2 linked regions of the Daphnia pulex genome follow. The protein of the gene in region 2 interacts with the protein of the main gene of each other region in a pairwise test. Links are inferred from orthologs where the notes say so. Each region holds a gene or a part of one and is shown on either strand. Other genes may lie near its edges.

Region 1 (5,280 bases), on a different chromosome or scaffold from region 2:
GATCGCTATCTGCTAGCAATTGCTCCACGCGCTCGACGACGACAGGCTGTCTGCTCAATTCCTTGAGCTTGTCAGTGCCCCTGGGCGAAACGAGGCGAGAAAGAAAACAAGAGAATAGGAACATCATTCACGCTGTTTGCTGCAGCTGACGTCATGGGAAAAAGCTGTTGTATTTTTATTGTATTTCTTTTTTTCTTTTTCTCTTACCTGAGAGACAGGTATCCTATGAGCGTACAACACCTGGACCTAATCATGGGGTTTCGATTCGACAACAAACGCACCAAATTTGTGTCTGTCATGTCGCACAAGGGTAGAAAGAGATGGTGAGATTAGCCGTTCATTTTCTTATTTTTCAAGGCAATTGTGTGAAATGTAATACCTCTTTGAGTGAGAATATCTTGGACGACGCTAACGTTCTCGGCTCGAGTGCGCAGGACGTGCGACAGGATGGCCAGAACGTGGCCGACTGCATGGGCTTTGCGACGATCGACAGACAACAGGTGATGAATGGCGGCCGCGCAATCCAGCACGCAAACAGCATCGCAGAATTGATTGATGAATTCTGTTGTGAATTCAATCGGGGGGAAAAAAAGGGAAGGAATAGAAAATTAAAATAATGATTAGCCACCCCCACTTTCGTTTCCAGTTACACAAGAGCTCGCGATGAGTGATTACCTGCGGTCGTACTCAGGTGCACCAGACGGGCCATCAAACCCAGCAGCATTTCTAAGGACTGCAGATCGTCGGCCGTCAATTCGGCGTCCGTCTTTTTACTGTCGATGCTCCTGTTTTTGGGCACAACCCAAAAAAAAAAGAAAAATAGAAAACGAAATGAAATCACATGGGAGAATGAGAAATGGAATTTAGACTGTGACAAATAAACAAAAAGAGGAGTTACCCGGTGCTACGGTTATCGCCAGATCTTCTCTGAACCATTACTTTGCAAGCGTACAAGAGATTGGGCACGACGCGGGTGTCTGCGTAGGCGCGGACGATTAATTCTTCGTCGACTGATTCCTCGCGGTCGATTCCAGCCCAAGGCAGGGCCAGCAGAGTCGCTATACGTTCGACTAGGCTCGGGCTGGCGTTGACGTTGCGTAACGGAGCCACCACAACGGCGACGAGATCCCTCTGCTCCAGCGTCTGCGGATTCTCTATGGCGTCGGCCAGCGTTCCGTCAAGAAACTCTTCCCATTCGTCGTTTTCCAGAGATTTCGACAGCAACGAACCGGCGGCGGCGGTTGCGGCGGCCGCAACTTCGCCAGTTGTCGTTTCCTTGGCCTAGAATGAATCAATCATCATTTGGTCAATCCTTTCTTCTATGATAGGACTGCACATCGATTTTTACCTCCGTTTTGGGCTCGATGGAAGGTGAAACAGTTTCTTCGACAGTCGGCTGGTTGTTTGGCGGGTTGGGCACGGCTGGCTGAATGAGGGAGAAATGATGAGCGTTGGTGCCAGGATCGAGGGGATCGAAATCGGCCACATTTTGTTTGGTCGGCCATCTGGTCGTTTCTAAAATTCTTTCCAGCAATTGCTGCCTCTCACTGATCCGTGGATCGATGGCAGGCGGTAAACGGTGGGTGTCGACGGCTGCACTTTGGCGACGCGTCCAGTCTCCAAATGCACTATTCGACCAAAATGATAAAGTTTTAAATTTAAAAAAAAACGCGACTTTTAGAAATTCTGTTTAAAGTGACGTACGGATTGTATTGGGTGCTGTGGAAGGCGGCGGCGGGATGGGCCAGCAATTGTTTGGGCTGAGAAACTGGAGCGCTATTTCGGCGTCGTTCGTACTCTTCTAATCTCTGAAGGGCTCGCGTGAAAACCCTTGTAAAAGAACAACCAATAAATTTCAGTTAAAGGATTGGATAAAATAATCAGCACGACAATGTTCACTTGTTTTTGAACGGCATCTTTTGGGAGAGATCTTGTCTTTGAATCTCTTTGGCCAGTTCCTGCGAAGCCGTCAAGGCAGTCGTTAAGGGAAGCTGAGGTCTCACTAGAGAGAAGGTAAAGAGGGAATCAGTGAAATTTGTTACCTTTACCAGAAAAGGAACATTGTATTGAACATACGTCTTTCAGGTGGGAGCAGAACTTTGTTCTCCAGGAAAGGATGCTCGAGCAAGTGAGGCCAAGTTAGCCTGCGGCGAGGATCTTTCTCCAAGAGACCTTGAAGGAGGTTGAAACAATCTGGGCTCAGATTTGTGGGCCAAGGCACGGTTTCGTAACGAATTTTTCGTATTAGTTGCAATAAAGATGTGGTGCAAAAGGGTGGCGATCCAAAAAGGAGCTCATACAAAATGCAACCTAAGGACCTGTTGTAAAAATGAAGGGTAAATCAACAAATCTTTGAAGAGACAATATCTGCAATAAAAAATGTACCATAAATCTGCATTATGATCGTATGGCTTTTCCTCTATGATTTCTGGGGCCATGTACAATGGAGTTCCTTTGACAGATGTTAGCACATAAGTGTTGAGGTCCATGGATCTTGCAAATCCAAAATCGCAAAGTTTAATGATGCCATCACTTGTCAGCAGTATATTCTGAGGTTTGATGTCACGGTGTAATATCCTGTCTGAATGAAGGTAGTAGAGAGCAGATAGCAACTGGCAAGCAACCATTCGCATTTTGTCTTCACAGAGTGTCCCATCTTCCAGTAGTTTGTACAAGTCACTTTCAACATACTCAGTGACAACAACTAGCTGGATGGAGAAATAAATCGTTAATAATCAACACACAAAACTACAACAAATAAATTGTGAAATTTCTTGATTACCTCTTTAAATGTCTCAAAGGCACCAAGCATGTGAACAATGTTTGGGTGACGCAAGCCTTTCTGGATTTCAAACTCGTGTCTCAAGCTTTGCAGCTCACATTCTGTCCTACCAATCTACAAACGCAAAGTATAGAATTTGTTACAATGAAATGGAAAGGAATTTATTTATAACACTTACTTTTGGAATAAACTTGAGAGCAACCAAACCTCTCAAGTGTCTATGTCTTGCTTTGTAAACTCTTCCAAAAGATCCTTCTCCAATTTTTTCTAATACCTCATAGTCTTCCATTTCAACGCACTTTCAACTCGGATTTATTAGATAATTTGAATGTTAAGAAACCACAATAAAGCAGTGTCACTTCTTTTACCGCTGTTAAGAAATGGATATAATTGTAGTGATCATTACGATTCTTGGATTTTAATCAGAAATGAATTGTCTATAAACAAAAGAAGCCATCTAGCGAAGCTTAGACTAACAATATTCCCATGTAAATATCTGGATCAGAGATGGCGCTGTATTTTCGAATAAGGCCAACTGGCAAGGTGATGAAAATGATTCCCGAGCCAGATAGACATGATTAAATCTGACGAAGTGGTGAACATATAACACAGGGATAACAATGATATATTTATAAGAAAATTCCATAAGAGTATAAATAACTAAACAAGCCAGTGCGCTGTGCACTGGACCAAAAAGTGCAAAAGCCGCGAAAAGCAGTAAAAGAGACAGTACGCACGCGGTATGCTACACGCCCTACGAAGGTGGAAGATATATGGGCGTGAAGAGAATTTAAAAAAAAAAAAAAAAAAAAAACACACAACAAAGACCGGTAAAACAACCGGAAATGAATGTGTTGAAAATTTACGTTATTCCCATCACCGAGATGGTACAAATCTATCGATTCCCTATTTTTTTAAAAAACATATTTTATTTAGCTACAAGAGTGTAAAGATAAGAGTAAACAAAGAATTAAATATAGAAGATGAATAATTCCGGTAGGTATTTAATCAAGATTAAACTTTTGAAATGCTTTGCATGGACAAATGAGGTGTAGCTAATGATTTGGATATCGTTGTTGATAAATATTTGGTAGCAGAATAGTCTCTGACGACGGAGGTGGCTTCCTATAACCGTGGCAATGACGCGCCGGCAGTCAGAGTTGGAAACCTTGAATGCCAAGCTATTTTTGACTTTCTTCCAGAGGAATATATAAAGTTTAAATCCGTGACGTCTGAGAGAAAGGCCAGCTGCATTCAAACACGGCACACACAATAAGCGCGAGTGTTGATTTTGTTCCTGCGAAACTACATCTCGAGAACTCGGATGGGTTTTTGATTCGGTAAATTGACAAGGAAGTATTCAGTTCATTCAACTCTAGGCAATTGAAATAGTTGCATGCTCAGGCAAAAAAACAAACTTGTTATTATTTACGATACGTTAATCTAGTAAAAACTTTATTTATTTTGTTTCATATTTTCTGATAGTTTACTGTAATCTACTGAACGATTACTAGCTATTATAGTACACCTCAGTTGATAAAACTTTTTTTTTTTTGTTTGCACGGGTGTTTACATGATGTTATTTACCATTAAAATCCCGTTGGCTACACCTTCCGAATGCCTTCCAATGAAGGCCAAATCTATTCATGCATGTCTAGATTGATTCTCACTGACGCGCTGGCGGTGTCTCACGGGGGAGAACTGCCCCGGTACAGGGAAGATACGACCAGCAGGACGAGCTCGACGATATTTTTGGGATTTTGCTTTTTGTCAGGGGGTGCCGTGTGAATCGCTGGCAGATTGCCGACAATTCCAGCGGCCCATTCCTATCCTGTTTGTCGCACTGCTTTGCTCTTTGGTGTCTATTCCGGCGGGGCGAACGGACATCATCATCGCACAGTGCGGCGTGCGGTCCGCCTTTTCCATCTCTCCGGGAGTTTATATACGATTTTTCAGTCGATTTTTGAGTGTGGGGATCGTTTTATCCGTTTCCGCAATTGGCTATCTCGTGTCGAATCTATCCCATGTCTCCTGTGAGTGTCAAATGAAATGAGGGTACGTCAACGCTATTATTTACTACTTCAGACCACCAGCATCAGTTATACTTTTGATTGCGATGCGAAACAACTAAACCAATTCTTTGCAATCAATTTTGTGTCAGTTTTTATGGGGGAAGTTGGTGTTGGTTAATTTTTTGAAATTAATTTTGTTTCTATGCTGTGGGAATTATTTAGCAAATTACGCCGGCTAGTTCCGAAAATAAATCTGCATCTGCTACCAACGACGCTGCATCTGCTGAACCACCTCCATTACCCACAACCCAACCACCGCCCTTGGAGGACGAATACGAAGACATAGAATACGGGACTGGGCATAAAGCTACGTTCTCAATTCGATTTGGTACAATTTATTTTTATTTTTGTATGCACAAAATGGTTAGCTCAAACGAAAAGCTATTAATCATCCACTTTGGTATTTTCCAACACGTTGTAGGTGGA
Region 2 (5,414 bases):
CGAAATCTAGTAGCACTGAAGGAGGAATAGTTTTAAATGACATACCCACAAGTTCAGGCTCTAGGTCGAGGATTGAGCAGCCTTACCTACGGCACGCCTTAACTAGTGACTTGAGAAGGACTGAAGGACAAGATTTCTGCCGTAAAACAGCAAAATGTCAGCCAATCAAAAACAACATTTGCTTGACAACGAAATTACCATATTCACAAACATCTTTGGAACTGGTTACCGATTCACACACTCAGGATGATGTTCAGGTTTGGCAACATGATTTGCATTGTCCTTTTACAGGTTTGGCTAATCCTTTGTTTTTCTTCTAGGATAAGCTCATGTTTTGGCAGAACTTGAAAAGTGTTCCCAAATGCTGGGCTGTGATTCAACCCTTTTTGTGTGCTCTCTACATGCCAAGATGTGAAAATGGAACAGTAGAACTTCCTTCTCAGGTACATACAAAATTAGAATAAGTATGTTCAATCACTCAATGACATTTTACTTACAGGAAATGTGCAAGGTTATTCGTAATCCTTGCAGAATTGTGGAACTTGAACACAGGAATGGCTGGCCAGATTTTATGAGATGTGAAGACACTGAAAAATTCCCTTCTGGCTGCAAAGTTTGTAATTATTATGTGCATTCATTTGCTATTACTAACGAAACTTTTTTCTCTTGCAGAATGAGGTGAGAGAATTGAAATTCAACATCACTCCAAAGTGCCAGTCTCCTCTGGTGGAAACGGACAATAGTTTGGCTTATGTTGAAGGAGTTGACGGATGCGGACTGCCTTGCACTTCCCCGCTGTTTACAAAGGAGGAACATGAACAAGTCCAACGATTCACACAGACTCTGGTCGCCATGTGCCTCACCACCAATTTGTTTGCTGTGGTAAGATAATAAACACGTTTAGAATATGGAGATAAATGAATCAATAATCAATCGATTGCTATGTGAAGTTTACGTTCATGATTGACTGGCGCTCCGCTTCACGCTACCCGGCCGTTATTATTTTTTACATGAACGTATGCTTCGCTGCCGCTTGTATCGGTTGGATTGCTCAATATATTCCCAGTGCTAGACAGGATATCATATGCCGGAAAGATGGAACAGCTCGTGTATCAGAACCAAGGTATGATGCCAACTCAGCTTAAGCCGCATTTCAATGTCTGTAGCAATTTTGGTTTTATGCTTTCACGATTTCGTTTGATTTATTTTTTTATTTTAGTGGCGGAGAAACGCTGTCTTGTGTTGTTATATTCATCTTAATCTATTATTTTCTCATGGCTGCTTGTGTTTGGTTTGTCATGCTAGCCTATTCGTGGTTCGTCAGCTTCCAAGCCCTGGGTAGAATTTTAAATTTTTTTTAACTGCCACCCCAAAAAGAATGAAGACAAAACTGAATGTCATCATTGAAATCTCTCTAGGTAAAATCCGTGAGAAAGTCAGCTCCAAAGCTGCTTACTTTCACTTGGTCTCCTGGTCAATCCCTCTGGTCCTTACAATTACATGCATGGCGCTAGCACAGGTTGAGTTTTATTTTAAACAAGGAATTTATGTGTGAACGTATTTGTTGATTTATATTTATTTATTTCCAACGCAGGTCGAAGCACAAAGTCCTCATGGAATTTGTTTCGTGGCCAACAGCAAAGTGGTGCGGTCTGGTTTCGTTCTGGCCCCTGTAATGATCTTGCTTTTCATTGGCCATGTGTTTCTCTACCGCGGTTTGCTTATTTTGATTCGTCTCAAACTGGGCAGCGCTGCCTCAATCTCCGCTTCCGCCAATTCCAAGTTACGCAACACCATCGTTCGACTCGTCTCGTTCTCAGCCTCTATTATCTGTGCTATCGGTTTGTCCATTTTCTGCCATGTTTACGAATTCGATAGACGAACTCAGTGGAAAACTTCCTTCCGCTCCTACATGGTGTAAGTAATTTTTAAAAAATTGTATCTAAGGATCTCCGCTTAAATCATAATACTTTTACTTGTAGTTAAATTAGCTAAGCTTTTCACGTTCCTTATCACTCTTATTTTCATGGGGTATTAATACTGGTTTTTATCATGGCGTCTATATGAGTACGGAATTTAAACTTGCTTTAGGTAGTCCTGGCTATCGCACCCAATTTCAACATGGCCTTGTAGTCTATTTATCCCCATAAAACTAGTGCGCAGCCGCTTTTCTATCCAATAAATTAATAATTCATTTTCAGATGGCACGTTTCTGTGCCACGTGCAGAAATTCGCCAACAACGCTAATAAGAGTTTCCTTCTAAATCCAGATCATTAACTGAAATTGAATTTTCTCTGCCAATCTTTCCTTATAAAAATTCAATTAATTATGAAACCAAACTATTTTTATCCAGACTTTTTTCAATTTGTACTACTACAAAAAAAATAATTATCTTTTCCTTCCCACGAAACGCTTTCATCCCCCCCCCCCCAAACTAATTAGTTCCAGCATATAAATGTCGTTTTATGTGTAGGAGGCTTGTTACCTCGAAACGTTTATAAGCCCCATAATTTCAAAATAGGTATTTTACGCCCCCGTTTTGAAGTAATCAAGTTGAATAATTTACCATTTCCCCTCAAACTTAAAAACAATAATTTTTTAACTAAAAGAAAAATTCATTGTGTTTTTTTCAACGTTCGTATTTGACATTGCAGATGCCTGGCCAATCAAAACACCTCTCGCATTCAGAATCAAGGCCTTGCCGATGACTGTGAATTGGAATCTCGACCGAGCATGACCATCACCCAAGTTCATTTGATTGCCGTCTTTGGAGCTGGTGTAGCCGTATCTTCGTGGGTCTGGACAAAGGCTTCCGTCCTGGCTTGGCGGAGGTGGTACCGAAGGTATACACACTTCTTGTTTACTCCCTGTCGGCTTGTTTGCATGTAAACATCGTTTTTATTTCCAGGACCTTCAACAAGAGACCGTTGGATGAACGCGTTCGCATTCGCAAACATAAAATCATTGCTCAGGCGTTTGCCAAGCGAAGAGATCTGAATCACATGGGCCGGATGTCTATCAGTATCCACAGTACGCACGACGATCCAGTCGGTTTTGGCAACCTTGATCTGAATAGCGCCGCTTCCAATGACGTCAGTTCTGCATGGGCTGCCGCCATTCCCAAATTCGTCACACGCCGTGGCGCTATCGTCGGCGCGGCTGGAGCCTTTGGACTGCGGCGCAATTCGCTGGATTCCGAAATAAGCATGAGCGCCGTCCGGCGTATTTCGGTCGAATCGAGAGCCAGTCAGTCTCGCCGTCACTCATTCGATTCACAATACTCGGTACATTCTCAACAAACGACGGATTTGGAGCGGCTCACTAGACTACACTTCCGCCATGGAGGTCGTAAACGTAATAATTTGCTCCGGGGCGGAAGAAAAATGGCGCTGAGACGCAGGGGAAGTATTACGTCTCAAGCTAGTTCGAAAGGGTCGCAAATATTGCCAGCCATTACTAAACTTGCGCTGAGAAATCGCCGAGGAAGTATCACTTCACTGGCCAGTTCTAAAGGCTCGCAAATCTTGCCGGCCATTACCAAACGTAGAAACCAATTACTTCCTCTTGGATCAGCTGGAGCGAGCACTGTTGTCCAGGTTCAACCCAATGACAAGCGGCAATCATCGCAAGTCGATCTGGAACGAATTGAGCGCTTCTCGCTCAACCTGCCGGGCGACGGAAGTAGCGACGAAAGTGACATCGATAATGGAGAATCATGCAAAGTTACTACGGTCCCTGTCACCCAGTCGACTCAAACTGCCGTGACGTGGAACGTGGCCACACAGACGTCGCCCAGTTTATCGACGCTTCGACCTATTTCTACCAAGAGTGCTAAAACAACAACGCAGTCTGTGTCTAAAGGCACACAGGTGACTTCATCTTCTTCTTCATCGTCACCATCATCCTCGGCATCCACTTCACCGGAAGCCGTCCGTAAATCGCTGCCGAAACCGTCGACATCGGCCCCAACGAACATCTCGAGCTCAAAGTGCCACAGAGAACGAGGTCAAGCCGATGGGTCACCCAATGGAAGCTCATCAGACGTATCGGATCACATATCAGCCAGCGGGCCTGGCCTAAGTTCGCCTTCGCAATCATTGCTCGATTATTTGCTGCCCATCAAATCGGAGAAGAAATCTGATGATCGACAACTCAACGGTTCCAAGAGCAGGTAAATATTTAGCACATTTGCATTCGTTTGCAAAATTGGCGTTGACATTTAAATTTTCAGTGGCAGGTCCAATAGGAACAGAAGCGCCCGCTCTCGCGGGGTCGAAGCAATTGAGTTGGACCGTTCGTCTATCGCCCGCCTTCTTGAAAAACTACGAGAGGAGGACCACAAAGCGGCGGTTGAAGCTGCCAATGCCGTTATCGATTCAGACGAACGTCCTAAACGCTCCTACGACAGGCGTCATCGCGTTGAGCGTAATCGTCGCTCACAATCTGAACGCCACGACGGCAATGAAATTGAATTAGATTGCTTGCTGAGCTCCAAGAATTCGAATCGCTCTGATCGATCCAGAAAATCCGGCAGTCGACGCTCCCGTTCCAAGCAAGAAACAATTGTCAATGACGATGTATCATAATGATCAAATCTTTTCTTAACTCCCTTTTCGGTCTTGACGATTCAACTTTATTTCCTTTTTCCTCTCCCGTATTCCGACATTTTATTTTATTCTTTCCCCATATACCTGAACGTGACAATCGTTGTTACCAACGACCTCCGTTTATTTTTAAAAGTTATGTGACTCAACTTTCTATGTAACTTTTTTTTATCTAAATCCAACAGAGGACGAATCTCATATGCAGCTAAAAATCAATCAATCAGGTAATGTGAGTCCCTTTGTTGCCTTTCAAACTCTGACTTTGGAATTCCATGCATTCTTCCACTTATAGATGGTTTTAACTTTATCGAACCGGATCTCTTCTTGGCAAATAGTGTCAATAAAAAAAAATGTAAGTGCCATTTGAATTGAACTTTGTCGAAACTACTTTTAGAATATCCCAGTGTAACCCAGTAACTTGAAATAGGAACACAATTCGAGCTGCCGATTTTTTCACGGCATAATCAAATGTGCGCGTTCAGCTGAGCTTTTTTAAATCATTCGATTTATACCACGGCTGAGTTGCTGCTAGCTGGAAGCGGAAATGGTGCATCCGCTCCTTTTGGCTACGACAATTTCATTTAGGTATATACTTTTTTTTTCCACGTGTCAAGTTAACGTGCTCTACTACAAGTACGTTGCCTTTGCTTTTGATGAAGTAGCAGCTGCGCACTAGTTTTCTGATGAACATTTTGGACTCATATAAAGGAAGTTTTTTAAATGAGGTGTTTGTCAAGAAGTTCAGTTGAATGGGGAATGTGAATTGACTTTCTATCATGTCTGAGCTACAGGTTAATACTAGTAGTCTA

The links. The genes of interacting proteins can lie anywhere in the genome.
Region 1: the proteins of smoothened homolog (region 2) and serine/threonine-protein kinase fused-like interact in a two-hybrid assay, tested with the Drosophila melanogaster proteins (2 studies listed by BioGRID, with this or other methods). The link is inferred for Daphnia pulex from reciprocal best matches to the Drosophila melanogaster genes smo and fu.

The regions. Positions count from the first base shown.
Region 1 is NC_060025.1:6,991,648-6,996,927, forward strand, and holds the start of serine/threonine-protein kinase fused-like, read right to left. Parts: upstream 3,592-5,280; 5' UTR 3,072-3,591; coding exon 2,961-3,071; intron 2,897-2,960; coding exon 2,783-2,896; intron 2,709-2,782; coding exon 2,386-2,708; intron 2,319-2,385; coding exon 2,077-2,318; intron 2,003-2,076; coding exon 1,900-2,002; intron 1,831-1,899; coding exon 1,705-1,830; intron 1,629-1,704; coding exon 1,349-1,628; intron 1,282-1,348; coding exon 899-1,281; intron 786-898; coding exon 676-785; intron 563-675; coding exon 380-562; intron 293-379; coding exon 208-292; intron 81-207; coding exon 1-80. Other genes in the region: E3 ubiquitin-protein ligase lubel-like, read left to right, coding at 4,832-4,837, 5,017-5,182, 5,276-5,280. UniProt on the Drosophila melanogaster protein: Probable serine/threonine-protein kinase; maternally required for correct patterning in the posterior part of each embryonic metamere. May be involved in control of cell division during metamorphosis and ovarian development. May interact with costal-2.
Region 2 is NC_060027.1:3,197,858-3,203,271, forward strand, and holds the end of smoothened homolog, read left to right. Parts: coding exon 1-257; intron 258-320; coding exon 321-443; intron 444-499; coding exon 500-613; intron 614-672; coding exon 673-882; intron 883-950; coding exon 951-1,123; intron 1,124-1,219; coding exon 1,220-1,338; intron 1,339-1,418; coding exon 1,419-1,519; intron 1,520-1,594; coding exon 1,595-1,917; intron 1,918-2,655; coding exon 2,656-2,844; intron 2,845-2,909; coding exon 2,910-4,172; intron 4,173-4,232; coding exon 4,233-4,587; 3' UTR 4,588-4,973; downstream 4,974-5,414. UniProt on the Drosophila melanogaster protein: Segment polarity protein required for correct patterning of every segment. G protein-coupled receptor which associates with the patched protein (ptc) to transduce the hedgehog (hh) signal through the activation of an inhibitory G-protein.